Callithrix jacchus: one gene and its partners. The protein of the gene in region 1 purifies or fractionates together with the protein of each later gene. This does not show direct contact. Links are inferred from orthologs where the notes say so. Each region holds a gene or a part of one and is shown in the gene's direction. Other genes may lie near its edges.

What was found.
Region 2: the proteins of WDR77 (region 1) and GAR1 purify together in Homo sapiens (affinity purification with mass spectrometry; 3 studies listed by BioGRID and IntAct, with this or other methods). This does not show direct contact. The link is inferred for Callithrix jacchus from reciprocal best matches to the Homo sapiens genes WDR77 and GAR1.
Region 3: the proteins of WDR77 (region 1) and LSM4 purify together in Homo sapiens (affinity purification with mass spectrometry; 3 studies listed by BioGRID and IntAct, with this or other methods). This does not show direct contact. The link is inferred for Callithrix jacchus from reciprocal best matches to the Homo sapiens genes WDR77 and LSM4.
Region 4: the proteins of WDR77 (region 1) and SIRT7 purify together in Homo sapiens (affinity purification with mass spectrometry; 3 studies listed by BioGRID, with this or other methods). This does not show direct contact. The link is inferred for Callithrix jacchus from reciprocal best matches to the Homo sapiens genes WDR77 and SIRT7.
Region 5: the proteins of WDR77 (region 1) and SNRPD3 purify together in Homo sapiens (affinity purification with mass spectrometry; 3 studies listed by BioGRID and IntAct, with this or other methods). This does not show direct contact. The link is inferred for Callithrix jacchus from reciprocal best matches to the Homo sapiens genes WDR77 and SNRPD3.
Region 6: the proteins of WDR77 (region 1) and CTDP1 fractionate together in Homo sapiens (co-fractionation; 3 studies listed by BioGRID and IntAct, with this or other methods). This does not show direct contact. The link is inferred for Callithrix jacchus from reciprocal best matches to the Homo sapiens genes WDR77 and CTDP1.
Region 7: the proteins of WDR77 (region 1) and CLNS1A purify together in Homo sapiens (affinity purification with mass spectrometry; 6 studies listed by BioGRID and IntAct, with this or other methods). This does not show direct contact. The link is inferred for Callithrix jacchus from reciprocal best matches to the Homo sapiens genes WDR77 and CLNS1A.

The regions. Positions count from the first base shown.
Region 1 is NC_133508.1:149,397,747-149,401,641, reverse strand, and holds part of WDR77 (methylosome protein WDR77), read left to right. Parts: intron 1-2,455; coding exon 2,456-2,526; intron 2,527-2,658; coding exon 2,659-2,713; intron 2,714-3,180; coding exon 3,181-3,252; intron 3,253-3,791; coding exon 3,792-3,895. UniProt on the Homo sapiens protein: Non-catalytic component of the methylosome complex, composed of PRMT5, WDR77 and CLNS1A, which modifies specific arginines to dimethylarginines in several spliceosomal Sm proteins and histones.
Region 2 is NC_133504.1:87,430,889-87,435,357, reverse strand, and holds the start of GAR1 (H/ACA ribonucleoprotein complex subunit 1), read left to right. Parts: upstream 1-1,587; 5' UTR 1,588-1,660; coding exon 1,661-1,735; exon of another isoform or gene 1,736-1,830; intron 1,831-1,965; coding exon 1,966-2,197; intron 2,198-3,719; coding exon 3,720-3,874; intron 3,875-4,469. UniProt on the Homo sapiens protein: Required for ribosome biogenesis and telomere maintenance. Part of the H/ACA small nucleolar ribonucleoprotein (H/ACA snoRNP) complex, which catalyzes pseudouridylation of rRNA.
Region 3 is NC_133523.1:17,038,623-17,043,098, reverse strand, and holds the start of LSM4 (U6 snRNA-associated Sm-like protein LSm4), read left to right. Parts: upstream 1-1,465; 5' UTR 1,466-1,527; coding exon 1,528-1,530; intron 1,531-4,476. UniProt on the Homo sapiens protein: Plays a role in pre-mRNA splicing as component of the U4/U6-U5 tri-snRNP complex that is involved in spliceosome assembly, and as component of the precatalytic spliceosome (spliceosome B complex).
Region 4 is NC_133506.1:137,508,582-137,512,633, reverse strand, and holds the end of SIRT7 (NAD-dependent protein deacetylase sirtuin-7), read left to right. Parts: intron 1-584; coding exon 585-683; intron 684-756; coding exon 757-993; intron 994-1,119; coding exon 1,120-1,200; intron 1,201-1,400; coding exon 1,401-1,507; intron 1,508-1,978; exon of another isoform or gene 1,979-2,064; intron 2,065-2,659; coding exon 2,660-2,858; 3' UTR 2,859-3,305; downstream 3,306-4,052. Other genes in the region: PCYT2 (ethanolamine-phosphate cytidylyltransferase), read left to right, coding at 3,850-3,938. UniProt on the Homo sapiens protein: NAD-dependent protein-lysine deacylase that can act both as a deacetylase or deacylase (desuccinylase, depropionylase, deglutarylase and dedecanoylase), depending on the context. Specifically mediates deacetylation of histone H3 at 'Lys-18' (H3K18Ac).
Region 5 is NC_133502.1:195,106,436-195,110,821, forward strand, and holds the start of SNRPD3 (small nuclear ribonucleoprotein Sm D3), read left to right. Parts: upstream 1-1,270; 5' UTR 1,271-1,366; intron 1,367-1,552; exon of another isoform or gene 1,553-1,627; intron 1,628-3,482; 5' UTR 3,483-3,498; coding exon 3,499-3,624; intron 3,625-4,386. Other genes in the region: protein GUCD1, read right to left, coding at 1-138. UniProt on the Homo sapiens protein: Plays a role in pre-mRNA splicing as a core component of the spliceosomal U1, U2, U4 and U5 small nuclear ribonucleoproteins (snRNPs), the building blocks of the spliceosome.
Region 6 is NC_133514.1:121,977,014-121,980,908, forward strand, and holds part of CTDP1 (RNA polymerase II subunit A C-terminal domain phosphatase), read left to right. Parts: intron 1-1,108; coding exon 1,109-1,199; intron 1,200-3,331; coding exon 3,332-3,498; exon of another isoform or gene 3,499-3,895. UniProt on the Homo sapiens protein: Processively dephosphorylates 'Ser-2' and 'Ser-5' of the heptad repeats YSPTSPS in the C-terminal domain of the largest RNA polymerase II subunit. This promotes the activity of RNA polymerase II.
Region 7 is NC_133511.1:62,972,911-62,976,805, forward strand, and holds part of CLNS1A (methylosome subunit pICln), read left to right. Parts: intron 1-702; coding exon 703-839; intron 840-3,895. UniProt on the Homo sapiens protein: Involved in both the assembly of spliceosomal snRNPs and the methylation of Sm proteins.

The DNA.
Region 1 (3,895 bases):
CAGGTGATGGCACTCATCTCTCCACTAGCAGTCTAGCTCTTTTGGTCTTTTATTGGTTTCCTGAGGCGTGTGGATTACATTCCCATTTTCTTGTCACGACATTGAAGCCCTTCCATTTCCTCTCTTCAAGCTTACTAGATCCTTGATGTTCTCGAGGGATAAACCTTGAGACTTTCAAATCTTGAACCTCTGAGTATTTACCTTCATAAAATGTCTGTTTTCTGGTGAGAACCGTCACTTTCTTAATGCCCCTCTTTCTGCTCACTTTCGTTAACAGCACTAGTGGTTGACTTTCTCTTGGGAGCCATTCTTTGTGCAGATAATATCTGGAGCCTTAATATGCGCATGGCTATGAGATTTAGGTGCTGGGTGATCACCGTGGTTCACTCCGTGGCCAAGTGCCTTTCCCTGCCGTTTCTGACTTCAAAGTGCATGATTCAGTTATAGGCCAGAGAAATCACAGACTCATATCCAAGGTCCAGTGTGCTGGACCTCAGGGTCACTTTCAAATAGGTTTACAATAATATTGAATGCCCATCTGGGTGTAGTGGCTTACCACTGTGATCCCAGCACTTTGGGAGGCTTAGGCAGGCGGATCACATGAGGCCAGGAGTTAGAGACCGGTCTGGCCAACATGCCAAAACCCCATCTCTACTAAAAAGTACGAAAATTAGCCAGGTGTAGTGCTGCGCATCTGTAATCCCAGATTATACTTGGGAGACTGAGGCCTGAGAATTGCTTGAACCCTGGAGGCGGAGGTTGCAGTGAGCCGAGATCATGTCATTGCTCCCCAGCCTGGGTGACAGAGTGAGACTATCTCAGGAAAAAAAAAAAGTCAATGTCCCCTGTCTATTATGTTTGCTTTTTATTTCTTAGACATATGATGTGCCTTCCTGGTTAATATTAACTCTTTTTCATTACTTCAGCCATTCATCCCTTAGTTCTTCGTGTTTGTGTCTTATTCCCCTTGCTGAATTCCAAATCCCTTCTTATTTCTTAATTTTTTGTACAGAGTCTTGCTATGTTGCCCAGGCTGCTCTCAAATTCCTGGGCTCAAATGATCCTCCCACCTTGGCCTCCCAGAGTGCTGAGAGATTACAGGCATGGGCCACCGCACCCTGCTCCAAAACCTTTGGCGGTAGAGGAACCATGCATTCTTCACCTTTTGTACACCACCATGGTGCTTGCCCCAGAGCTTTGCTTTGTTCAAGTGAGCAATAAATTCCTTTTCTTACTTCTTATTCTGTTGGCTTCCTGTGAATTCTAGGGCTAGGAAAGAACTGTGGAAGTCAGTAAAATTCCATCCTTCTGCCTCAGGGAGGGGCCACATTCAGACTCCCTGGGAAAGTCTGGTAGAATGACCGTAGAAGAGTTTCGCAGTTTCTAATTAACATGTAGCAGTGACTTAAAGTTTTTTACATGTAGACCTCCCAAAACAATTTTGAAAATCGATGCCCCCTCATACATTTTTAAACTGATACCTAAAAAATTTTAAGTAGTTGCAGAGAAGGTAACTTCTGGCATATAATTTATTACATACTTATTTCAGGCATACATTTGTCAAAATTTTAGATTCCTAGTTAGTTTGTACGAATGTTTGCCAGATAGCCTAACTGGCAAATGCCAATGTGTGTTGAAAAGCCAGTGGACCAAGTTAGACTAAGTTTTCTGTCAGAAAAAGTCTGACTTTGTTACCACATTCAGATAAAGTTGTTGAATATGTCCTTATCACAACAGTCTGTCATATTTCTTAGTTCTTGTCATTAGACAAGAGTTAAGTCACAGAACCATACTTGTGTTTGTGATATGACTGAAACAAGATCAGCCCCTTCACTGAATTTTACCCAGATGCTCCTTTTGCTCTTTGGTTCTTAGGGAAAAGCCCCTTTTGTCCCTTAGTTTAGAACCCTTATATTTTTATACCCCTGAGCATTGTACCATGGAAAGATCTGGGATAAATGACAGGTATCTGTTTCTTCTATAAAGTGGGAGAAGGGTGATGGTGAAAACAGAGGCAGTTCAATTTTAGGAAAGAGAACATTGAGAGAAATTGGCGCTCTTAATGCTATTAGCGCCCAGAACTCCCTCGCAAGTTTCTGTATACTACTTGGAGGTATGTGTACTCCATCCAGCATGAAGACTGCTATTCTAGGATTATTTAGCCCTCATGTCTAGGAGGTCTTAACTGGAAATTCCTTTATTATTCTTACTAAGCCCCTAATTTCTCATTCCCTGTCTTTACTAATACTTTTCTTTACAAGACTTTTTAGGTTTTATAGGTCTGTAAACTTCTCCTCTTAGCTTCTGTCTAATCCATAACCTACCACAAAATTTGTTAAATTGCATCCTGAGACCAACTCTTCCTCCCTCCTGTGCCTTGATTATTCCTGGGCTGGCCTTCTTGTAATGCTTCGGCTTGTTTTCTGTCATATTTATCTTTCTCTCTACTTTTCAGCTCATGCTGCGCAGGTCACCTGTGTCGCTGCTTCTCCCCACAAGGATTCTGTGTTTCTTTCATGCAGTGAGGTGAGAGATAGCTCCTTCTTCCCTAAACACACTCCAGTCCTCCATAGGCCACAGTCTCTAGTGTGGAGATTTTCTGGCCTACAGCTGCTCCTTTGGATTGTGAAGTCCTTTTTCTTTTCCGCCTCCCTCTAGGACAATAGAATTTTACTTTGGGATACCCGCTGTCCCAAGCCAGCATCACACATTGGTGAGTCTGAGATTCATTGGTGGGAGAATAGTACTTGGAACCCCAATAGAAGAGACTTTCTTTGGCCAGTGTCAAAGCAGATTTGCCAGATTCCCGATCTAGTTACTGTGACATGAGTAACATAATCTCCTTCTTTTCCACTGAGGCTCTCCTAACCCCATTCTGTGCACTGAATACCAAGAGGAAGGGCCAGTTCCTGGGTGGGTTATTTATTTTATTAGGTGGGAGGACAAAGGGGCCAGAATTGTTATCTTCATGACTGTGTTTGAAACTGGCCTGCGACTCATGTCCAGAAAGCGCAGGAGGCTGGTGGATAAATGGTTATGAGGCTGAAGGATGAGGACATTGCTGCCTTAGCAGGGTTTGGGAACTCCAATAAAGGTGCTCCTAGGATTTATAGTGATGTCACTTGAGAAAGTGCTTCTTCTGGGCTCTGAGTTTTAGTCCAGACCCTCTTCTCTTTGCAGGTTGCAGTGCCTCTGGCTCCCTTCCTACCTCACTGGCTTGGCATCCTCAGCAAAGTGAAGTCTTTGTCTTTGGTAAGGCAGCATGTCAGACTTCATATTGACTCTGGGAAAGGGGAGGAGGAGAGAAAAAGAGCTGACTCCACAATGCACAAGGCTCTTGCTGCTCAGTCTTATCAGCACTCGTGGACGCTAGATGAATATGAATTAAGGGTGGGGAGGTGGGGGTGATGCTAATGTAGTTTTACTGTAGCTTTGGAGAACATTTTTTTTCCCAGTGGATTTGATTTTTGATTGATTGATCCAGCTCCGGTATTCTGGGCATGGCTAGAAGTCAGAGAGCCACAAAACAAGTGGGTTGCTGTATACGGAATTCTCTTAGACTGTGGGTAGGTGTAGGGCTATTGCGGTCATGAGGCTGTGCATATGGTGACATGGTTTGTGGTTAAAATAATAACTCCTTCATTCATTAACTTAATTTTCACAATCGTCCAGTGACTTCTTATTCCTACTTTGCAAACCAGAAAACTACTGCACCAAAAGAGAAAACTGACTTTGGCTGGCACCAAGTCCATGCTCTTAACCACTGTGACATGTTCCTTTCTCTTCTACAGGGGACGAAAATGGGATGGTCTCCCTTGTTGACACCAAGAGTACAAGCTGTGTCCTCAGCTCAGCTGTACATTCCCAGTGTGTCACTGGGCTGGTGTTCTCACCA
Region 2 (4,469 bases), on another chromosome or scaffold:
AAACTCAGAATTGAGCAGATACACAGCAAAAGACAACCAAAAACTTCACATTAAATAGGTAATTTTCATTTTTTTCTTTCAAAAGTAATACTTTTATGCATATATAGGCCCATAAAAGATCGACATTCATTAAAATCAAATTGCAACCTTTACTAAATTAAAAGAAAAAGAAAAAGTGAAGTTTCCTCTCTCACTTGTTTTTTGTTTGTTTGTTTTGAGACCAAGTCTTGCTCTGTTGTCCAGGATGGAGTGCAGTGGCGGATCTGGGCTCGCTGTAACCTCCACTTCTGGGGTTCAAGCGATTCTCCTGCCTCAGTCTCCTGAGTAGCTGCGATAAAAGGTGTGCATCACCATGCCCGGCTAATTTTTCTATTTTTAGTAGGGGGGCGGGGTTTCACCGTGTTGGCAAGGGTGGTCTCGAACTCCTGGCCTCAAGTGATCCAGCAGCCCCGGCCTCCTAAGGGCTGGGATTACAGGCGTGAGCCATTGCGCCCTGCCTACAAAGGTATTTTAAAATCCCATTTACAATAACCCCGTCAATTAGATAGGTACCAAGTTCAACCCTATTCTAAACACGAGGTAGTCAGCTGTGTCAAATATCAAGGTAAGGTCTCAGAGGATTTGGGTATAAAAGACTCCAACCACATTTAATAAATGGAAGGTCACTACCTTTATTTGTGAGAGAAGCTCTGGAGAATGTGGGGGAAGCTGATGTCAAATATAAAGGGCTTAAGGAGAGAAGAGGGAGAGGAGCATCGAGCACAGAGTGGTTCACAGCCTGTCGGTGCTTAAAACATACTTGAATGAATACCTGGTACAAAGATAAAAAAGATGGTTTGGTTTTCTATAATACAGCATAAAAAATTAAATAAACACACACATTGCTTTTCTTCCTCTAATCAGTGAGACCACAGAACAGAATAACAGGCACAGTTCAACCCACAATTGTGCGAAAATCAATAGGTCGAGAAAAAACAAGAAACTCAGATAAACGCTTCCGCCGGCTGTGACAGGTTCTGACACAGCCAGATCCACTGAAAAGAGTGCGGCTCAGAAACCTTAGAGACCCGTCTGCACAGTTGCTGAAGTTAGCAACAAACTGGTGAGCGCGGTTGGGGACAATTTCGTGAGAAGCAAGTGCGCCCCGTTAATCGGCACGAACCTTAAGAACCAACCTTGTTCCTGCAAGGTGCTTTCGTTCCGGCAGTCAGCGCTGGAACCAAACTGGCACCCGCCCCGCCCCCGGTAGAGAGGGCGGATCTCTAACGCCAACTATCTCCAAGAGCAACATTGCCGCAGCACTTCCGGGATGTCGTGCTGCGAAGGACGCCGCTATTGTACGTCACTTCCGCTGCTCCACTCTAGGCACTTTGACCTCATGGTTGTAAATTAGTCGTTAAGGTTCGATATTATTCCACTCTTCCAGCACTGAAGACTGTTTTGGAACCAAGTGTTGCTGGTTCCGCCGGTGACTGGCTTTTTTTTTTTTTTGGCTTGCCAAAAAAAAGTGGGTTTAAAAAAAAAAACTCTGGCGGTACGGTAGCCGAGGAGGTTCCAGTGCTGCGGAAGTACCCAGCGGGTGGGTGTGTGCGCGCGCAAGGCCAGGGCCAGAGGTGCACGTGGCGCCGGTGAGTTGCCGTAGAAGCCGGAGGATCTGAAAATGCTGGACGCGGAACCCAGCTGCCAGAGGGAGGGAGGAAGGAAGGGGATACGGTGTGAAGACCTTGCTGTCTGTGTGAGGAGGAGTTACTAATCCTGGGGCGGCCAGGCTGGTCTGTGGTCGGTCGGCGTTCCGGAGACTCATGGGGAAGTAAACTCTTCACCCTAGAGGTTGGTCACTGGCGGTCTGACCGTGGGTGACGTGACAGGGCTGCTATTGTCCCTTTCTGACTGCGGCTCCAAGGGGTTGGAGTGTACTCAGAGGCTACAGTGATCAGAAGATAACTGCTCATTTTTTTTCACCAGGGAGGAGAGAGAATGTCTTTTCGAGGCGGAGGTCGTGGAGGCTTTAATCGAGGTGGTGGAAGTGGCGGCTTCAACCGTGGCAGCAGCAGCAACCACTTCCGAGGTGGAGGCGGAGGCGGTGGCGGAGGCGGCGGCAATTTCAGAGGCGGCGGCAGGGGAGGATTTGGCCGAGGGGGTGGCCGCGGAGGCTTTAACAAAGGCCAAGATCAAGGACCTCCAGAACGTGTAGTCTGTATGTAGTCTTCAACATTTAGCCTATTTGAAGGAGTAGAGGTGGGTTGTGGGTTTGTGTTATTAGTCAGCAAGTTTGGGATACACAAGCCTGTGTGGAAAATGATGTAAACTGACTTATAATCGTACAGTACATGTAAAGGTGGGATGGGGAGATGAAGAAAGCTGTGGGATACTTAAAATGCATCATGGAGGTGGAACTTGAGGGTTCACAAGAAGATATTAAAGATAGCAAGTGAATACTTATCCTTAATTCCCTGATTTTACAGATGAGAAAACCGTGATTCAGAGTTAATTTTTTTTGCTAGGGTCTTAAGGTTAGTGATAAGTTATCAGTTAGTGATACAGCTGAAATACAGGCTGGGTGCGGTGTCTCACACCTGAAGCCAGGAGTTAGAGACCAGCCTGGACAATAAGCAAGAGACCCTGTCTGTACAGAAAAGAAAGAAATACAAAGCCAAGTATTCTGAGTCCACAGCCCATGCTTTCGTTACTACTCAAAAGTTGGTAAGTGAGAAAAAAATTTGCTTGAGAGGGAAACTGCCAGTGAGGAAGTCGAGAAAAAGACCCATTTAGGGCAGTTTTCGAGTAATTAACAATGAGATTGGAATGGAAGTCACAGAAAGTAAAGCCTACTACATTAAAGATGAGAGAGGATGAACAGTGTCTAGTTAAGGAGGATTTGAAAGGAGCAGTGTCTAGAATAAAAGGTCCCAGCCCAGAAGCTGTTGCACCAGTCCATACGTGAGGCATTGAGAGCCTGATTCAGGATGGTCACAGTGAGGAAAAAGAGGAAGGGTTAGATAGGAAAGATTTCAAAGGAAACAAAATCAGTAGAACTTAGCTAATACTGGCAATAAAAAGTTTCAGGTTTTGAGCTTGGGCGATGGGAATGGAGAGTTGGTTTTGCAGGAATGTGGTAAGTATTTAAGTTTGGGTGATACTCTAGTTAGTTAGAAATAAAGGTAGTTATTTTGAGACTCCAGATGTCCTTTAAAAAAATGAATCATTGTTAAAGAGTTGGTAGTGGGAATGTGAAAGTTGAAAGGCAAGAGAAAAAAAAAAAGAACAAAGTCTGATTCAGTGGGGGTTGAAGACAAGGAAGAATCAGAAGAAAGAAGCAGAGTTTTGAATCAGATAATACGTTATAATAAGATAACTGTTTAGGTTGAATGGTCTCAGTGTGCCAGGCACTATTCTAAGCACTTGACATTTGTTATTCCATTTAGTCCTTACAATACTCTTTTAGGTGTAGATATACATGATATGGTATTAGTGCATACTAAAGATGAGACACTGAATTAGAGAGAGGGTGGGTGACTTCTCTTAGGTCACAGAGCTAGTGTGTTGTGGAGTCTGTAAACCAGCCCAGGAAGTCCACACTCTTAATGACTGTGGTCTTCTGCCTCACAGGAGAGCAGATATGGTGAAGTGCTGGTAGCCAAAAAGAAAGCTTCCAGGAGAAGTTCGTCAGTATCATTTGAAATAGTTCTATGTTTTAACATTTTCTTGTTCTATTTCAGTGTTAGGAGAGTTCCTCCATCCCTGTGAAGATGACATAGTTTGTAAATGTACCACAGATGAAAATAAAGTGCCTTATTTCAATGCTCCTGTTTACTTAGAAAACAAAGAACAAATTGGAAAAGTGGATGAAATATTTGGACAACTTAGAGATTTTGTATCCTTTTTAATTGGAAGACTGAATAATATTCAAAGGTTGCTATTTGTATTTTTCTGAGGCAGTTAAGTATAAATTAAACTTGTTTTATTTAATTAGACAGGATTGCTACATACTGGACCATGAAGGAGAATCAAGGGGAGGATGTATTCATCCATAGGTATTAAAATGACAGACCCTAGAAAGGTGAGGTTTTTTTTGGGAAAGTTCTAGAAATGATGGCCATTTGGATAAGTCCTACAGGATTAAGTTGGTTGATTTGGATATAGTGGTGCCTCTGGAAATGTAGAATTAGAAGTTGTTTGGTGCCCCCACTACTGTGGAAACTCTTCTCTCCTCTTCCTCTTCCTCTTTCTCTTTTTTTGAGATAGATACTCTGTTGCCCAGGCTGAAGTGCAGTGGCACGATCTCAGCTCACTGCAACCTCTGTCTCCTGGGTTTGAGCAATTCTCATACCTCAGTTTTTCAAGTAGCTGGGATTACAGGTGAGTACCACCTTGCCCAGCTAATTTTGGTGTTTTTAGTAGAGATGGGGTTTTACCATGTTGGCCAGGCTGGTCTCAAACTCCTGGCCTCAAGTGATCGACCTGCCTTG
Region 3 (4,476 bases), on another chromosome or scaffold:
CAAACATATGGAGACCCTGTCTGTCCCAAAAAAAGAAAAGAGAGAAACATTTGAGCCTGAGAGACACAGAGAAGGCCAAGTGAAGACAGGGGCAGACAGAAAGCAGAAGACTCCATGTATAAGTCAAGGAACTCCAAGGACTGGCAGCAGCCAGCAGAACCCAGGAAGAGGCACAGGACACACAGAGCCTCCGGAGCGAGCCAGCTCCACTGACAGCCTCAGTTCAGAATCTGGTCTCCTGAACTGTGAGAAAATCACGTTCTGTTGTTTTAAACCTCTCAGTTTGCAGGCGTTTGTTACAGCCCCAGGAAACAACAGCATTTGCCTATTTACTTTGTTTACTGTCTCCCTGAGAGCCACGAATTTTGTGTTTTGTTCATTTCTGTGAGCAGAAGCAGGCACAAAGTATATTGTTAAGTACTTAATATGCGCCAGACCTGTTTTTGTTTGTTTTGAGACAGAGTTTCGCTAGTTGCTCAGGCTGGAGTACAATGGCGTGATCCTTTGCCTCCTGGGTTCAGGCTGGAGTACAATGGCGTGATCCTTTGCCTCCTGGGTTCAAGCGATTCTGGGATTACACCACTGCCGGCTAATTTTATTTTTTTGTTTTTTGTTTTTTTTGAGACGGAGTTTCGCTCTTGTTACCCAGGCTGGAGTGCAATGGCCGATCTCGGCTCACGGCAACCTCCGTCTCCTGGGTTCAGGCAATTCTCCTGCCTCAGCCTCCCAAGTAGTTGAGATTACAGGCACGCGCCACCATGCCCAGCTAATTTTTTTTGTATTTTCAGTAGAGACGGGGTTTCACCTTGTTGACCAGGATGGTCTCGATCTCTTGACCTCGTGATCCACCCGCCTCGGTCTCCCAAAGTGCTGGGATTACAGGCGTGAGCCATCGCGCCCGATCGCCAGGCGCTGTTTTAAGTGCTTTTTACATAGTTTCACTCATTTCATCCTCACAGCAAGCAACCTTTTGGAGCAGACACTACTATTATAACCCATTTTACAGCAAACTGAGGCTCCGAGGGGCGTGGTCAGGATTCCAACCCACTAAATGATGTTCCTGGATAATTACAGAATTAGAAAACTAGGAGTCCGAAGGGCGACCTGAGGGACGTCCCAATCACCACGAGACCTCGCTGTCTCTAAGACTGCAAACGAAAGGCATTAACTGGCTTTGCCCACAGCGTGGAGCCCGAGACCGACGGCTTCACCTGCGCATGCGCTTACCCACAAAACACCCCGCGCCTGGGCGCGTTGCTCCGCCCCCTTTTGCATTACAAGTCGCGACACTTTACGGCTCTATTCCTCGTTCCTCCGGCGGGAACGCGGCCCGCCCGCCCCTTTCGCCCAGAGGGCCCCGCCGTGTTCCGCGTGGATTGGTTGGCCGCCCTTCGAGCCCAGTGCTGACTGGCTCGCGTGTCTGCCACTTTCTTTCAGCCTAGTGGCGCGCGGCGCTGCGACGACCGCCGGGAGCGTGTGCAGCGGCGGTGGCGGAAGTGGCCGGCGAGCCCGGTCCCCGCCGGCACCATGGTGAGGGCAGGGCAACGGCGGGGTCTCATCGGGAGGCGGGAGCCGCAGGCGTTGGGAGCCCTCCGGGCGGGCGCTGACGGTTGGGTTGGCGCGGGGTGAACGTAGAGTCAGAGCCTCGCGTTCCGTCTCCCGGCACGAGGCTGGGAAACTGAGGCTGGAGACTGCAGATGGCTCTAGGACGTCTGTGTCTGAGATTTAGGGTTGCACGGGCTTGTATCCGTAGTACAGCGGGCTCGCTTTACTTAGTTTTTCCCATTTTTTCCCCTCAGGTGGGGAAACTGAGGTCAAAAAAGGTGGGGGCCCGCCAAATGCAAGTTTTTGGGCAGGGAAGGGGCCCCGAACGCTTCGGGCCCGGTCAGACCTCCCAGATTGAAAATTAGAGTGCTGGGAAGTAGGGGGCCAGTCTGAGTTGTGAAACTTAGCTTTAGGAATTTCAGAGCTTGCAAGATGCATAAAATGCTCGCAGCACAGCGTCCTAGGCCTGTTGTTTTCTGTCTGAAAATCGGGCCTGGTGCTGGGGTGTGGTCTTTCTCCTTGGGTCACATAGCATGTCATTCCAGGGGAAGGGGGCATTTTGAGCAGGAGTGGATAAAGTGCATCCTCCCAATACACAGAAGGAAAAACTGAGGCCCAGGTCTCTGCAGGGCCAGATGTTTGTGATTATGGAAGTTCTGGATCTGGGCCAGAAAGTGCCCGTGTCCTCAATGTGCAGATCGGAAAACGAAGTCGGAGCTGGGAATTTCCTGGCCCATCAGCATCTGGCGCTTCTTTTTTCAGGGAGAGAAATCTAGGCCTTTGTTGGGGATGTGACTTCCAGACTCTGTGAGACAGTGGGAGATTTAGTAACCAGGAGGGACCCACAGGGGTGGCTGCATCAGAGCTGAGGATTAGTAAGAGATGCTCCCTAAATCCTGGGGTCAGTGTGTAACCACCCAGTGGGTTCACTTAGCCTGCTTCCTAGACAGAGCCGATTTATCAAGACAGGGGAATTGCAATGGAGAAAGCAATTCACACAGAGCCAGCTCTGCAGGAGACTGGAGTTTCACTCTTGTTGCCCAGGCTGGAGTGCAGTGGCACAATCTTGGCTCACTGCAACCTCTGCCTCCCGAGTTCAAGCTTTTCTCCTGCCTCAGCCTCCTGAGTAGCTGGGATTACAGGCGTCAACCACACCATGTCCGACCAATTTTTTTGTATTTTTAGTAGAGACAGGGTTTCACCATGTTGGCCAGGCTGGTCTGGAACTCCTGAACTCAGGTGATCCACCCACCTCAGCCTCCTGAAAGTTCTGGGATTACAGGGTGAGCCACTGTACCCAGCCTAGGGGATCCGAGTTTTTAAGATGATTTGGTCGGTAGGGGCTCAGGAAGTGGGGGGTGCTGATTGGCTGGAGCTTCCTGAGGTTGGAGATGGAGTCCTGAGGAGGTCGAAGTGAGATTTTCTTGCTGTCTTCTGTTCCTGGGTGGGATTCTGTCCGTGGGTGGGATTGCGGGACTGGTTGAGCCACATTACTCGTCTGGGTGGTGTCAGCGGATCCACCTAGTACAGGGTCTGCAAAAATATCTCAAGCACTGATCTTAGATTTTTATAATAGTGATGTTATCCCCAGGAGCAATTTGGGGAGGTTCAGACTCTTGAGCCAGAGGCTTCGTGACCCCTAAACGATAATTTCTAATCTTGCAGCTTGTCAGTCCTCCAAAGGCTGACTGGTCCCCAGGTAAGAAGAGGGTGTTTTCTGGAAAAAGCTATTACCAATCTTGTCTCAGAGTCAAACTATAGACTGAATTTCTTCCCAAGGTTAGTTCGGCCTATGCCCAGGAAAGAGCAAGGACAGCTTAAAGGTTACAAGCAAGATGGAGTTGCTTAGGTCTGATCTCTTTTTGCTGTCATAATTTCCTCAGGTACAGTTGTTGCGAAGGCGGTTTCAAGTGCAACAATTCAGAGAAGGGAGCCGGCCCCTCCTGCTGTGTCCCCGAGGGCAGAGTTGGAAGGGTCCATCCTGTGACAAGTTTTATGGAAGCAGGATCTTCATTTTTCTTCCCTCTATTATTCCCACTGTGTAGAACGGTGCGTGGGCAAAGTTAGAACTCATTCATTCAGCCCGTCCCCACCTTCTGAACATCCAGAGTCCCCAAGTCCTGGCTATCCAGGCGTTTCCTGGAGGAGTGGCCAAGAATGGACGAGGCGGGCCAGGTGGAGTGGCTCATGCCTGTAATCCTAGCACTTTGGGATGCCGAGGTGGGTGGATCACCTGAGGTCGGCCAACATGGAGACACCCCGTCTCTACTAAAAATACAAAATTAGCCTGGAGTGGTGGGATTACATGCTTGTAATCCCAGCTACTTGGGAGACTGAGGTAGGAGAATCACTTAAACCCAGGAGGTGGAGGTTGCAGTGAGCCTAGATTGTGCCACTGCACTCCAGCCTGGGCAACAAGAGTGAAACTCCGTCTCAGGGGAAAACAAAAAGAATGGACAAGGCCTCATGGGATACACACTTCCAGTTCCCTGTGGTCAGGGTAGGACTAGGAGTGACCTGGGTTAGCAGCCGGGGAGGGCAGTCCTGGAAAGCTTCTGGAATTAGGAGCCACTGGATTTAGTCCTCATGGGTCTAAACCTGAGAACCAGACTCCAGGTGTTCCAAGAAAGCGCAGAGAAAGGAATTCTCTTTTCTGAATTTTCTTGTGATCTTCCCTGAGCCAGGTGATGGGGCCGCTCCCATCACACTTGGCACTTTTTTCTTTTTCTATTTCATTTTATTTATTTTCTGAGACAGTCTCGCTCTGTTGCCCAGGCTGAAGTGCAGTGGCACAATCTCGGCTCACTGCAACCTCCACCTCCCTGAGAGCGATTCTCCTGCCTCAGCCTCCCAAGTAGCTGAGATTACAGGCACGTGCCACCACACCTGGATAATTTTTGTATTTTCAGTAGAGATGGGGTTTCACCATGT
Region 4 (4,052 bases), on another chromosome or scaffold:
GGATCCTCCCCCTGCTTCCTCTCCAAGACAGAAGGGCAGCGCCCCCTCTGAACCATCTCATCCACAGCCAGCCTCAGACCCAGAGGTGCCAGTGGCCTTTCCCCTTTGTGATTCCTTTGCATTTTTCTGTGGATCTCAGAAGCCATCCTAGTCACAGGGGAGGCTTGTAGGAATTCTCTGGGGACCTTCTGCTGAACACCCTCAACCAAGGCACCGGTAGGGGTTGATCTGCTTGGGTCCGAAGGGACCTGAAACATCATGACCCACAAGAGCATGGATCCAGAGCAAAGTGACCCTTGCCAAAGCCCCAAGCCACTTCCCAACCTTGCTGGGACGGTACAGCCTCTTGCCCTCCCAGCCAATCTGGGTGCATCAGGGCTGGAGGGAAGGGCACAGCGCCACCCACCATAGGCCCTCTTGAGTCTTGGTGGTTGGTCCTATTGTGTGTTGTACTTTCAAAGGCTCTCTGTGGGGTTGGAGTTGTTCCTGGTCTTGGGAGCCATCAGCTGGGTTCAGAACAGCCTCTCTGTGGCCTTGTTTTGATATCCCCACCCTCTGACAGCCCTTCCCATTCCACCTTCCAGGTGCAGCATGTGGTGTCTCAGAACTGTGACGGGCTCCACCTGAGGAGCGGGCTGCCACGAACGGCCATCTCAGAGCTCCACGGGAACATGTACATTGAAGTGAGCAGTCCTAAGGGGACCCGGGAACTCCACGGGCAGGCGGGTCCCACTCACTGTGCCCTCTCCTCTTCAGGTCTGCACTTCCTGCGTTCCCAACAGGGAGTACATTCGGGTATTCGATGTGACGGAGCGCACCGCTCTCCACAGACACCAGACAGGCCGGACCTGCCACAAGTGTGGGGCCCAGCTCCGGGACACAATTGTGCACTTTGGGGAGAGGGGGACGTTGGGGCAGCCTCTGAACTGGGAGGCGGCAACTGAGGCTGCCAGCAGAGCAGACACCATCCTGTGTCTGGGGTCCAGCCTGAAGGTGCGTGCCAACGACACCATGAATGAGCTGAGCCCCCACCTGCCCAAGGGTGTCCAGCTCTGCAGCCCAGCACTCTACAGCCTTGTCCCTTGTGTGTGTGCTGTGTCTGTCCGTCTGTTCCCACAGGTTCTAAAGAAGTACCCCCGCCTCTGGTGCATGACCAAGCCTCCTAGCCGGCGGCCCAAGCTCTACATTGTGAACTTGCAGGTATCTCGGGTGCTGAGAGCCACATGCTCGGACCTGGGCCTTAGAATGCAGAGCCAGAGACACCCATGCACCAGGGCAGTCTGATAGGGTCCCCCGTGGGTGTTCAGGGAGCAACGACCGAGGCCACCTGGGCCGAGGCTGACAAGCCACTAGGAAGGATTGGGCTGCTTTTACCCTCATTTGGCTTTCCCTGTCCTCAGTGGACCCCAAAGGATGACTGGGCCGCCCTGAAGCTACATGGGAAGTGTGATGACGTTATGCGGCTCCTCATGGCCGAGCTGGGCTTGGAGATCCCTGCCTATAGCAGGTGAGTGGGCCTCCGCAGCAGCCCGTTTACCCGCACCTCATGTGCTGGGCCTTGTCTGTCTTCTTTCATGAGCTGAGCGTGGAGGAGGCTCTGAGGTGTTCGCAGCGATGTCTGAGGCGTGACTGAGGCGTGGTGGTCTCCAGAGGGCCTGACCTTGGTGTTTGGCCGAGACTATGCATGGGCCACTCGTGCGCCAGCTGATGGTGCACAGAATCCCTAAGGGGAGAGGGATTCTGCCCGCATGCTGCTGCTCCAGGCCTCCCCATGGAGCTCTCTGAGATGCCTGGTGGGAAATGTCTCGAGGGGACGTGCACTCAGCAGTCTGGTCAGACAGAATCTGTGCTTGGTTTTGGGAGTTGGCGTATTTTGGGAAAGCTTAAACTTGTGCTTTAATACAGAATTTGTGCTAATTTAGACTTGGTGTATGTATTGAGTAAAAAGTTTACACTCTCTTTCTCTGTGAATTTTCAGGGTCTTATAGGGGAAATCAATAACTTCTTTTAATCAAAGGGTTCAAGAATTAAGGATCCCTTCGCCTTCTGGGCCTGGCACTTCTTGTATGTTATGTGTGTGGTGTTCTGTGATGTGGGCTATCGTGTACTGTATTTTTTTTTTTTTTACATTAACTTAGCTCATTTTCCTTATCAGTGCTTATCTGTATCTTAAGTTATGATCTGTGGTTCTACATCTCAGTAAGACACATGGTTTCTTCACGGTGTCGTCTGTAGGCCACGCCTCCCTAGTCAGCTGGGAAAGGGGAGAGGGTCTGGTCCACCTGCCCCTGGCCTTACAAGTCAAAGGTGGGGCCCAGAGTTGCTAGTGACTCATCCCTGGAGACGGAGGCAGCCCTGGGGCCACTGCTGCCCCGCCCTGTGTGTGCACGCTGCTCAGTGGTGGATGAGGACACGGAGTTCTGAGGAGACCAAGCTAGCTAATGTGGGCACTGACCTTTAGTGACACCTGAGAGGTGACCTCTCCCACATCCGTTCTGCAGCTTGGTAACAAGCTGCCACCAACTGGAGCCCAGCCGCGGTTGACACGGGAGGGAAGGGGATGGGAAGGCAGGGACCGCAGACAGCTTTCCCGAGCTGGGGAGGGTGTGACTTCGAGAGGCTCCCAGGCCTGCCTGATGCAGCTTTCCCTTTTTGGCAGGTGGCAGGATCCCATTTTCTCACTGGCGACTCCCCTGCGTGCTGATGAAGAAGGTAGCCACAGTCGGAAGTCGCTGTGCAGAAGCAGAGAGGAGGCCCCACCTGGAGACCGGGGTGTACCACTTAGCTCAGCCCCCATTCTAGGGGGCTGGTTTGGCAGAGGCTGCACAAAACGCACAAAAAGGAAGAAAGTGACGTAACCTGGTGCTCAATGAAGAACAGCTGGCACTTTGCAAATGGCCAGTGTCACGGTGAAGGCTGGGTTGTCCCACAGGTCTAATGAGAACTTTGGGGATGACGTTTTCACCATGACATCTTTAGCCATTTGTCCTTGCAGAAGCCCCTTGCACTGCTGCGGTTGTCTCCTGATACAGCTTGGCCATCCTCTATGTCAAGAGGTGGCAGCCGCCCCTTTCTGTGAGAACGGAACTCGGGTTATTTCAGCTCTGGCCCGCAGAGGAAGCGCCCAGCTGCCTTCCCTCATTCACCAGGCCAGTCTCAGGGCCTCACCCCATTTCTACTACTAATGAAAAAGTGTGAACTTTATAAAACCCTCTTTCTGTACTGAATGTGCGGTGGAGGGATGGCTCCGAGCCTCGGCTCTATGCAGACCTTTTTATTCCTATTAAATATTTCTCTGCACTGGCCTCCAGTGTCCGCGAGTGGTTGTCGCGGGCTCCCCAGGCGCAGGTCCACTGCCTGGCAATGTGGTCCTGGCTTAAAAACTCCACAATGATGAATATTATTATGCCAAAAAATAACAAGGAAAAAAAAAACCCTGCTTGGGACAGCGCCCCGTGGGGGTTCATGGAGGCGGCGGCGGCGGCGGGACCCCCCGCGCTCCGCACTGCCAGGCCCGCCCTTTGCCAGGAGTAGGCGGTGCGGAGAGGCCAGGTGTGGGCAGGGGGCGGGGCTCTGGCCGTGCGTGTGGGGGGGCGGGACCGTCGGGGTCTCACGCTATTGGCCGTGCGCGGAGGTGCGGTGGGGCGCAGCCTTCGAGGGCGGGGCACGGTCCGGAGTGCCCGTCGCGGGTCCGGGACGGCGGAGGCGGGACTCGGGTCGGCGGCTCACACCATTGGCTGTAAGGAGCGGGTGAGGCCCGCGTGACGGCGGTTGCGCATGCGCCAGGCGGGCGGCGGCGCTCGGAGTCGCCGGGAGCTGCCAGGCTGGCTGCGCCGCCGCTGCGGAGCCATGATCCGGAATGGGCGCGGGGCTCCTGGCGGCGCAGAGCAGCTGGCCCCGGAGGGCAGACGCGCTGTGCGGGTGTGGTGCGACGGCTGGTGAGCACAGGGCCGGGGCGGGCTGTGGGGTCGCCGGGGCCGGCTTCTTTTCGGAGCGCTGAGCCGGCCGTTACACGGGGACCGGGCCCCCGTTCCAGGTAGCGTCCGCGTCCG
Region 5 (4,386 bases), on another chromosome or scaffold:
GGGCGGCCGGTGCGTCTCCAGTTCCTCCGCCGCCACCGCCGCCGATGCGGTGGGGAGAACTGGAGGCGGCGGCTGGGCCTCCCCAAGGCCCGCCCCGGCCCTTCTAGTTCGCGAATCTAAAGGCCCCGCCCCTTCCATAAGCCCCGCCCCAAACTTTGATTCTAGACGCCCCCAGTCTCTCGATTTAAGCCCGCCCCGGCCATTTGCCGCTTCTGCGTCGGGTGGCCCCGCCCCGTCGCCCAATCCTCGCGTAGACGCGCTGCCCACCAGGACACGGGCCCCGGAAGCCCCACCCCTTTCCTTGAGGCCCGCCCCGAAGCTCGTGCACTTAGTGCAGATGCTTCCTAGAGGTTCGTCTCTTCAGCAAACTCCGCCTCTGCCGTGACCCGCTCCTTTGCAGCCTTAGGTGTAAGCACCGGTCCCGCCCAATGCATTGCCGAAGCGCCAAACAACTCTCTTTTTATTTTTTTATTTTTATTTTATTTTATTTTTTGAGACGGAGTTTCGCTCTTGTTACCCAGGCTGGAGTGCAATGGCGCGATCTCGGCTCACCGCAACCTCCGCCTCCTGGGTTCATGCAATTCTCCTGCCTCAGCCTCCCGAGAACCTGGGATTACAGGCACACACCACCATGCCCAGCTAATTTTTTGTATTTTTAATAGAGACGGGGTTTCACCATGGTGACCAGGATGGTCTCGATCTCTTGACCTCGTGATCCACCCGCCTCGGCCTCCCAAAGTGCTGAGATTATAGGCATGAGCCACCGCGCCCGGCCACAACTCTCTTTCAACTGCCTTTAGGGATGATCCTGAGCCGGCCGCCGCCCTACTCTATACCTAATTTTATCCGTACGAGATACCTCGCCCCGCTCAGGGCGCCCCTTACCTAGCGGTGCCGGGATCAAAAAATTAAATTGTGAGGGGGAAGTCCTGGCCCTTGGCCCAACCTCCTGCTGCCCCGGGTCTGACGGCCCAGGCCCCGGGTCTGACGGCCCAGGCCCCGGGTTTCCGCCTTGCAGTCCAGCCTGTCCTTGGTGTGGGGTGCTTGGAAGTGCGAGCACCCTCTGCGGCTCGTTGCCGGCCCAAGGGTCGTTGTTTCCGGCGGCCCTCGGGCCCAGTTATCAGCCGTCTCTTCTGGTGCCGGAACTATCGTAGCGGTGCCCTAGTTTCCCAGCCGGCGGGCGCAGCGAAGAGGAAGCGGAGACGAGACCGCACTTACCAATGGGGAAAGGAAGGAGGTGGGCCCTGCGCGCTGCATTTTGGGAACGATTGGAATTCTGGGAGCTGGGCCCGCCATTCGCTGAACTCACGCCTTAGCCGTAGACTCATTTGCCGCCGCACCGAAGAGGAGAAGGAGGCCGGAGCTGGTGAGGCTGGGGACGGGCAAGGGGGGGTCGAGGGGCCACTCGCTGCATGGAACTCTGCGGGGCTCGGGGAGGGAAGAAAGCGGGAAGCTTGGGCCACCCAGACATCAGCGAGCATCGCCTCACTAGCGCCTAGAAGTAAGTTCATTAGCTTCAGCGTGCATGCTTTCACTTTTTGTATCTCTCCAGGTCAGTGTTTTTCAGAGCTTCCAGGCAGTAATCTTGAAGTCATTTCTGGTTGACTGTCTCCTTTCCCCAAATCCTGTGAGTGCTTTTTTCTGTTTATTTTTTCTTTTTGTTTTGGAGTAGTGATGGGTTTCACCATGTCGCCCTTACTAGTCTTGAACTCCTGGGCTCAAGGGATCTACCGGCCTCGGCCTTCCAAAGTGGTGGGATTATAGGTGTGAGCCACCGCGCCCGGCCGATCATTCTTTTAAAAGTTACTTGCATCTCTGCCTCCAGCCCCCTTTCAGGTAGTGGTCCCCTCATGGTTTCCACACTGTTGCAGAAGTTTTAACAAGTTTCTCTGCTTCTAAACCTTACATTCTATCCATTTTATAAATAAATGCTGCCACTTTTTTTTTTTATTCAAAAAAAATTTTTTTTCTTTTAAAGACGGGTTTTCACCATATTGGTCAGGCTGGTCTTGAACTCCTGACCTCAGGTGATCCGCCCGCCTCAGCCTCCCAAAGTGCTAGGATTACAGGTGTGAGCCACTGCGCCCGGCAGTGCTGCTGCTTTTTTCATTACGTCATTCTTTACTTAAAATCGTGCAGTGGTTCCCCACTATTTTCAGTATAAAATGTAGACTCCTAAAGCTGAAAGCAAGGGATCCTCACCAAAGGAACCTGTTTCTTCAACCTCACGTTCTCCTCTGTTAAGTGCACTTACGTTCCAACTTTGAGTCGTTGCTTATCTCAATAAAAAGTTCACTGCTTGATTCTTTTTTTTTTTTAAAGACGGGCTTTCACCATGTTGGTCAGGCTGGTCTTGAACTCCCGACCTCAGGTGATCCGCTCGCCTTGGCCTCCAAAGTGCTGGGATTACAGGCTTGAGCTACCACGCCTGGCTGCTTGATTCTTTTAATTAGGTCAAATCAGGTGATTTCCCTGATTTTCCTCCATGACAAGCATTTCCTGAATAGAGCATATTGTCACTTTGATATTTCCTCATCTTTGATGGTAAAGTAAGTGAGGGGTTAAAGGGCTGAATTAAAAGTGCAGCCCCCTCTCCTAGGTGTTCATGGGTCCTTTGGTCTGTATCTGCACCTTCCATAGGGGAGCCACTAGCTACATATGGCCATTGAGCACTTGGAATATGGCCACTGGGATTGAGACTGGGTTTTTTATTTTAATTTTATTTTGTTTTAAGTAAGTTTAATTTAAATAGCTACATGTGGACATGAGCTGTATTGGACAGCTCAGGCCTATATAATTTTCAAAATGTAATCATGTACAATTACGGTTGACAATAACAATGCAACAAATAACATTCTAACCCCCACTCCGCAACACGAACAGTATTCGCTAATGGTCATTTAGATGAAGATTAAGGGACATAGGGTAGTAGGGACATGTGGTTGATGGGAGAGGCTCTCTTTTCATTTCTATTTTTATCTCTGTCCAGCCCACCATTCCTTCTCACCCCACATCTTGCACATATTTGCCAGATAGTTTCCTCCAAGCCAGGAGCTGAGTTGTTTTTGTTTTGTTTTATTTTATTTTGTTTTTGTTTTTGTAGAAAATGTAGCTTTGGGCCGGGCGCAATGCTCACGCCTGTAATCCCAACACTTGGGAGACCAAGATGGGTGGATCACGAGATCAGGAGATTGAGACCATCCTGGCTAACACGGTGAAACCCCATACTAAAAAAGTAGCCTGACTTGGTGGGGCAGGAGAATCTCTTGAACCCTTGAGGCAGAGGTTGTGGTAAGCCTAGATTGTGCCACTGCACTCCAGCCTTGGCAACAGAGAGAGACTCTGGCTCAAAAAAAAAAAAAAATTCAGTTTTGGCATTTTTGCTAAGTTTTATGGAGGGCTAGGCCTTGAAGGAAGCACAGTATGTGCTGCATGCCTTCTCAGTCTCTGAATGATGAACTGACTGTTGCCTCTCTCATTAGAACTCTTCCTGCCAAGATGTCTATTGGTGTGCCGATTAAAGTACTGCATGAGGCCGAGGGACACATTGTGACATGCGAAACGAACACCGGCGAGGTATATCGTGGGAAGCTCATTGAGGCAGAGGACAACATGAACTGCCAGGTATCCTGCTTTGCACATGAGGCTATGTGGGAGGAATGGACCTGTGTCTCAGAGGAACGGAAAGGTGTGGGTTGGGGGTCTTTGAAAAAAAATTGTTCTCATTCAGCAATGATTTTCTTTTGTTTGTTTGTTTTTTATTATTTTTATTTTTCTTATTATTTTGTTGTTGTTATTTTTCAGCAATGATTTTCTGAGTGCCTAATGCATGCCAGGCACTGTTGTTACAGGCTCTGGGAATGTGGGCATGAACAAGGCACAGTCTTGAGGCAGGAAAGCCATTGGAGGTTTGGAATATTTTACTTTGTCCTTTTTGTTTTTTCCATCCCCAGAGTTGGGGGCCTATTTGAGGGAAGTGCTACTTCAGTAGAATTCTTCAGATTCAGAGCCATTATCCATTTGCCTTCACTTGCCTTGTGGTTAGCAGAATCTTCTCCCATACTGTATTTGTTTCCCTTTTCTCTTGGAGGGAGAATCTCATTTGATTATTGCAACTACCTTGTGAGGTAAGCAGGTTTGGTGATAGTCTTGACATCCATAAAATAGGGAGAGTGAGATTAAAGGACTCATCACTGATAATAAATAATGGAGTAGTTTCCTGATATGGTGTCCTTCTCATGGCACAACTTGGCCTTTTGCATAGTCATCTGAATTTTTTTTTTTTTTTGAGACAGTTTCGCTCTTGTTACCCAGGCTGGAGTACAATGGTGCGATCTCGGCTCACTGCAACCTCCGCCTCCTGGGTTCAGGCAATTCTCCTGCCTC
Region 6 (3,895 bases), on another chromosome or scaffold:
CTGAAATACGCTTACTGCATATTCTATGGTTCTTGTAAATTAGCAAGAGATAACTTATTTTAAAAGTCTTTATATATAAATATGGGCACTTTAATGTGAATTGAAAACTTCGCAAAGTGAGGAAGATACCACAGTAGGCTTAGAGTTTCGAAGGTGAATTTGTAGACCAAGAAACCCAGAGTGGAAGTAATGCCAAGAAGTCTCTGCCTGATTTGTTGGTTGTGATCAGGGTGCTTCCTGAACTGTAGGTGGCTTTGCACATAGCATGGGATCGCTATGTTTAAGGAGCCAAAGCAGATCCTCAAGCACCTGAAGCTCTTTAGAAAATGGTTGGTAAAAATTTCACTAGACTTGTAATGACAGATGTCAGGTAAAGGAGGTGTCGAATGAGCCCAAGCAGATTCCTCACTGTGGAAGTACATTCTGCAGCAGCTGGTCAGCGGGATGTCAAGTCTGTCCTTCTTCCCAGTCTCTTCTGTCAGGCAAGCTTCTTTGTTGCCTCAATTAGCAGCGCTAAAACGTGGTGTATCATGGTGAGAAGTAACTGGCCTTTCTGTGTATTTCTACCACACAGCATGGGAGTTTGTATCATTCTACTAAAGCATATGGGAGAAGCGAGCCTCCTTGATAGCTTTCCTCCACTAACTGTTACAGACAAGAGTGGTGGGCTGCCTACCTGGGGTTAGAAAGGGTTATATCCAAAGGGACACAGAATAATTTCAGTTTCATATCTAGACTCGGTCACGTGGAGAAGCACACACAGAGTGTTTCGAGATAGAATGGTAGCTTTCCTGTTTTCCTTATGCAGGTGCCTTCCATAATTTTCTTACCCGTCTAGTTTACATAGGCACTTCAGTAGGACATTAGAAATTTTTCAGATTAATAGAATTATAGACACTTGTCAACATAATTTGTGTTTGAGAAATAAGTTCACCTTGAGCAATCAGAAGCCCTAAATGAGGCATCTTACCTGAACAGGGTAAAGTGTTTGGTGCCAGTTTTCCATGCTTTGTGTCTGCCCTGTGAGGAAGCACCCAGGTCTTCGCCATGTGCTGTGTGATGTAAATGCATCTCAGATGTGCAATCTTTGTCCTGTTTTCTTTTCAAGGATTTTTAGACCCCGAGAAGAAGCTTTTTTCTCATCGAATATTATCGAGGGATGAATGTATCGACCCATTTTCTAAAACAGGAAACCTTAGGTATGTACCCGGCCAAGTTCATCACAGAGACTACTCGCTGTTCATTGCCCATTTTAAAAATCACATTTTGAGATTTAGACCAATATTCATATTGGTGTTTTTTAGGAGTTTCCTGTCCTCTCTCCAGTTTTCCTTGTTAGCCTCAGAGTACTGAGAAAATTCCTTTCTAACCTGTGCTCCTGCTGCCTCCCAGGCTGCCTGAGCCCTGGTGTTTGTACACAGCCCCTGATGCAGGCTCTGCCTGTCCCAACAGCCCTGCCCTGAAACCACCCTGGAGCTGGGCCTTGTGTCTGTGGAGGTGGGACTGTCGTCCTCTCTGCCTCGTCTCTCAGATGGCACGCATTTGATGTCAGCCTGCCACCTGACTTTGTGTATCTGTTTGCTTAACCAGTCTTGGCGTGTGTGATCGTTCTAGTCCCTTTAGCTTCAGATTTTCATTCCTGTGCAAACACCTGGCGCTGAGGTTTGTAGTTGGAGAGGTAGGAGGCAGTGTGCATCCCCACAGTAGCCAGGTGTGAAGCATTTGGCCTTTTTGCCTCTGAGTATCCAGGAAATGGCCAGGGCTTCTGGGGAACTCAGGGACTGACTTTCGGGCCCAGAACCCAGGAGGGCAGAGCCATGTAGGGACGCAGTGGGCATCAGGGAGGCGGCAGCCGTGAGGGCCTGAGTGGACAGAGGAATGTCCGTGACTCCATCCAACGTACAGATCTGCAGCTTTGTGGGGCTGCTGGTTTAGGGAGTGTTCTTAACGTCAGCATTGGCATCTGCGGTTTGTAATTTTCCTAGGAGCTTGCCTGTGTTAATCCTACTAATAATTTAGAAAACCCTAGGTCTCATGACCGTTTTCTCATATTTTTGCCTTTTGCCATTTCTTCCTTTCCATCAGTTCCAGAGCCCATCCCCGTCAGCTCCTCTGAGCTTTTTTGACACGGCTGGCCCCTCTCCACCCCTATGCAAGACTTTTGTATATTCTTTTATATTCTTTGATGTTTCTTGCCCACTCTGTATGAAGAGCTTCCCCATTTCCACCCGGAAGTCCGTCCTGCTGCCGAGACACCACGGCAGGTGTGGCTTTTTCTCCCGAGAGCCCTGGCGGTCACAGCTTCAGCATCAGTCACTTCCTGGCTCACGGTGGCCACCTGCCTCTCAGCATTTTGGTTTTTAGATTTAGGGAGTCCACACAGACTGTGAGGCCTATGCAAGCTAGTGTTAACTAAGAAGAGAATCTGAAGGTATTTACTTCAAAAACAAACCTTTTTGCTAGTGTGTGGCAGAGTGAGCAGCTTGATCGGAACGGAGAATGGGAGGTACTGACAGTGATTTGTTAAGGACAGTCGGCTGAAGCCAGAATGTAGGATGGGGACGTGCCCAGGATGGGCCCTGGTGACGGACGCTGTGGCTTGCATGGAGGTAGCTGGAGGTCCTCTTAGAAGTCCTGTATTGGCAGTGGGTCTGTGTTTTGTTTCTAAGATGGGTCTTGCTCTGTCACCCAAGCTTAAGTGCATAGTGGGGTCTCAGCTCACCACAGCCTCGACTTCCTGGGCTCGGGCCATCTTCCCGCTTCAGCCTTCTGAGCGTCTGGGACTACCGGTGCCTGTCACCATGCCTGGATAATTTCTGTGTTTTTTGTAGGGACAGGGTCCTGCTTTGTTGTCCAGGCTGGTCTCAGACTCCTAGGCTCAAGCTTTCCTCCCACCAAGACCTCCCAAAGCTCTGGAAATTACGGGAACGAGCCACACTGCGCCTAGCCCACTCTGTGTTCAGAGACAGCACATTCTGGCCTTTAGGCTCCTCAGCCGTGTTTGTGCATGGAACATGGCCGCACCCACGCGCTCGGAGTTGGGTTTTGTCCCTGTGGCTGGCCCATAATGCCTGAAGTAGTGACTCTGGTGCTTTAAAAAACGGTTTGAGAACTCCTGCTTGAAGGAGATCGGGAACAGTGGGGAAGCTGTTAAGGACGTTTAAATGTGACCCAAACCGAAAGGGCTTCGGGCCAGTTGGCGTCTGTTTCTGATTAACCTGCTGTCTGCTGGCTGCATGTGGATTCAAGTCTTAAACTGTTACGCTTGACAAAGTGAATGACTACAGCTTTTCATTGTTATTTTTTGTAAATTATGCATTTTCGCTTGTAGAAATCTCTTTCCTTGTGGAGACTCAATGGTTTGCATTATCGATGACCGAGAGGACGTCTGGAAGTTCGCCCCCAACCTGATCACTGTGAAGAAATACGTGTACTTCCAGGGCACAGGCGACATGAACGCGCCCCCCGGGTCCCGGGCGTCTCCGACAAGAAGGAAAGGTGGGCAGCCTGCTTCCTGATTCTTTGCATTTTATTTATCGTTTCTCTCTTCTCGTTTCTTGTCTATTTTGACTGCTGTGAATTTAAGATGCAGTTTGGTTTTGTTTGTTTGTATTTCAGTAGAGATTATTGGATTTATTTAAATAGTACTGAAAAACAGGATATTACGTTGTTTCAATTTGGGCCTTAAAAAATGGCCTTAACTTAAACATTTTCCCAGTTGAATAAAGACTCAAGAATGCTGTTTACTTAATACATCTGAGCAGCGCCTTTCATCCCAGTTTTCCTTGAATGTACCCCTGGGCATTTGTCCATGGCGTTCTGTAGAGAGCGCAAATGTGGGGTGCAGTGGCTCCATGGGGAGGAACCATTCCCAGTGCACGGTGGTCCGGCTGGG
Region 7 (3,895 bases), on another chromosome or scaffold:
ACCTAGCATTTCTGTGGCTTTCTCTTAAAATTGTTGCATAAATGAAAGGCTTTAGGGAGACTGTCTCTCAAGGTAATAATTATTTCTTGACTTGCAGTGAGTGTAATTACAGCCATTTCATATGTATGTCATTTAATATAGGATTCGTGGAGAAATGAATGATTGCCAGGGATTTATTGCATATTTACCTGCTGAGCTCTTTGCTAATGGTTTTGAAGAATGTTAAATAACGGAATGTGATCAGTTCTGCTGTCAAGTCACTCACATTCCGAAGGGGCACATATAATATTCATTACCACAGAGTTAAGTGCTATAATTTGCAATTCAGAAAAATAAGAGATTATTATGGACTGGAATAGTTGAAGGGAGGCCTCATGGAAAAGGGAAGTATTTGCAAAAGCAAAGAGGGTGCTTGAAGACACACCAAAAAAGAGTAAGCATGAAAGTCATAGAAATATACATGTGACTGAGGAAAATGGAATTTCAAGTTTGTTTTAATTTTTAGCTAGAGGTAAAGAGACCGTAACAGAATGATCTTAAAGAAAATTAAATTCCCAGTACTGAATTTTCTTATTTTATGAACATTTCTAAAAAAGTAAACTTGAATTTATTTATATGCATAAAGGTGTCCAAACTTTTATATACTTTGTGGTATTACTTTAGAATTTATTAAAAATAATCTACTTAAAACATGTTTTTCAGCCGCCTGTCTTGGTTAGATGGCTCCGGATTAGGATTCTCGCTGGAATACCCCACCATTAGCTTACATGCATTGTCCAGGGACAGAAGTGACTGTCTGGGAGAGCACTTGTATGTTATGGTGAATGCCAAATTTGAAGGTATGTATGGTGTAATTTAATCTAATGCTTCCTTTGATAGCAAATTATATTTTAAAATTAAAACAGTCTTTGACGCCGGTACAGTGGCTCATGCCTGTAATCCCAGAATTTTGGGAGGCCGAGGCAGGTAGATCATGAGGTTAAAAGGTCCATCCTGGCTAACACAGTGAAACCTCGTCTCTGCTAAAAATGCAAAAAATTAGTCAGGCATGGTGGCACACACCTGTAGTCCTAGCTACTCAGGAGACTGAGGCAGGAGAATCAGTTGAACCTGGGAGGCAGAGGTTGCACTGAGCCGAGATCGAGCCACTGACCCCAGCCTGGGCAGCAGAGCAAGACTCCATCTCAAAAAAAAAAAACAAAACCGGAAGTCTTCAATAATAATCAATGATGTAACGCTGAAGTCATTGACTCATTTTGGATAATAGTTTATGATGCAAAATTTCAGCACAGCAGCTTGGACACTTGAAGTTTTCATAATGGACATTCTTGTGTATCTGTATATATCTTCTATATATTTACACTTAGAATTCTTCATTTATTATGGATATATATTTTTAACTTTTCCTTTGAAGTTTAACTGTTTATTCTGTCTTTCTCTTTTTTTTTTGAGTCAGAATCTCACTGTGTTGCCCAGGCTGGAGTGCAGTGATGTGATCTTGGCTCACTGCATCTTCCACCTCCTGCGTTCAAGTGATTCTCCTGCCTTAGCCTCCCAAGCAGCTGGAACTACAGGTGCATGCCACCACACCCAGCTAATTTCTGTATTTTTAGTAGAGATGGGGTTTCAACATGTTGGTCAGACTAGTCTCGAACTCCTGACCTCAGATGATCCACCTGCCTCTGCCTCCCAAAGTGCTGGGATTACAAGTGTGAGCCACTGTGCCCAGCTGTCTTTCTCTTTTTATTTTTTTTGAGATGGAGTTTCGCTCTTGTTACACAGGCTGGACTGTAATGGTGTGATATTAGCTCACTGCAACTTCCGCCTCTTGGGATCAGGCAATTCTCCTGCCTCAGCCTCCCGAGTAGCTGGGATTACAGGCACGCGCCACCATGCCCAGCTAAGTTTTTATATTTTTAGTAGAGACGGGGTTTCACCATGTTGACCAGGATGGTCTCGATCTCTTGACTTCGTGATCCACCCACCTCGGCCTCCCAAAGTGCTGGGATTATAGGCATGAGCCACTGCGCCCGGCAAGACACCCTTAGAGGCTTGGTTCAGTAGACCCTGTGCTTCTGAGAATTTAAGATAGAACGGTTTTGTTTTGTTACAATAGTAGTTCTCAGTGTGTAGGAGGGATATATTTTCCATGGGTCTCCACTGACCTCACCATTCCCCCACATTTAGCAGTGACATTTGGTTGAAAGAGGACGGGTATTATTGGCCTCTAGCAGTTAGATGCCAAGGATGTTTTTATTATACTAAACATTCTACCATGTGCAGGATGGTCCCCTACAACAAAGAATTATCCATCCAAATGTCAGTAGTGCCAAGGTTGAGAAACTAGGATATAAAAATTCCCAAGTTCTGCTTTGGGATAACTGCAAAGACTCAAAAATTTAGTGGAAATGTTCATGTTTGAAATAATGGGTTGCTTTTCTTTGAAGTAGTGTATAAGAGACAATCCCATCAGTTTGCCTGTAAGGCTATTGCTCTTTCAAATTGGGATTTTAATATGGTGTCAGATATAATATGATCATTTATGTTCAGTTGTGACACAATTTAGTAATTTTCAGGACTTTTGGCAAGCCCTGCCTCATTAAGTGGTAACAACTGATTCAGCTATCTGAAAATATTTTTGTTATAAGATTTCAAATTCTTGCCATTGGAAAAGGTTCAAAGACATAAAAATCTAGTGAAGTTTGAAGAAGAGGTTGAGGAAAAGTAAAAGGCTGTTAACCTTGGGGTGTAGTAAGACTTCCTTATAAGGTATTAGGCACAAAATTTACTCTCCATCTAAGTAAATGTAACTATGATTTTATAACTAAGAATATTATCTGTCATGTTTAGTTTAAAGCATTCATTCATTTGTAGAAATGCAACACCTTAGAGATACTCTTGTCAGTCAGCTCCAAATGCTGGTGTGAAATGCCCCTAAATAGTGTTGGGCATTGGAGCTGGGAAAGGTACATGTCAAGAGAAAGGCTAGGAAATAGGGTTTCAAAAATACTAGCCGAAGGGCGAAGCACATTGAATAAGAAAACTGTCGTTAGGCCAGGTGCAGTGACCCACACCTGTAATCCTACCACTTTGGAAGGCTGAGGCAGGTGAATCACCTGAGGTCAGGAGTTTTGAGACCAGCCTGGCCAACATGGAGAGACCCTGTCTCTACTAAAAACACAAAAATTAGCTGGGTGTGGTGGTGGGTGCCTATAATCCCAGCTGTTTGGGAGGCTGAGACATGAGAATTGCTTGAACCCAGGAGGTCGAGGTTGCAGTAAGCTGATCATGCCACTGCACTCCAGCCTTGGTGACAGAGCAAGGAAAGGAAAGAAAACTCTGTCATTAACTTGCTAGGCAAATCATTTGCACCTCTCTGACCTTAATTTTATCCAAAAAGTTGAAGGAGTATATTAGTCTCTAGTTCCCAAACTCAAGACTAATGGATACACGTTAGAAATATGTGGGAAGTTTGTTTAAAATGCAAATGCTGTAAGTCCTAAACTAGGAAAAAGCAGTTCAGTAGGTTTTAGGGTGTGTGTTTTAAATATGTGCTTTATAATCATACAGAGTCAGTATGATTATTTGCTTGTAATTGATGTAATTATGATTAATTTCTTAGTAAGGTATGCAGGATTTCCTATTAATTTTTAGTGTCTTCCTGGGTCACATTTATTTCACTAATTCTCCAGTTCTTTTTATCTTGAACTCCTCTTATAATTACACATGCTTAAATAATATTTTCCCAGCCTTGTTCTTTGCATTCTCATTCTCCAAGCTCTAAGATTTTTTTTTTCTTTGGCATACCACCATAGTCTCTTTAAAAGTGACCATCAGGGCCAGGCACAGTGGCTCACATCTGTAATTCTAGCATTTTTTTTTTTTTTTTTTTGAG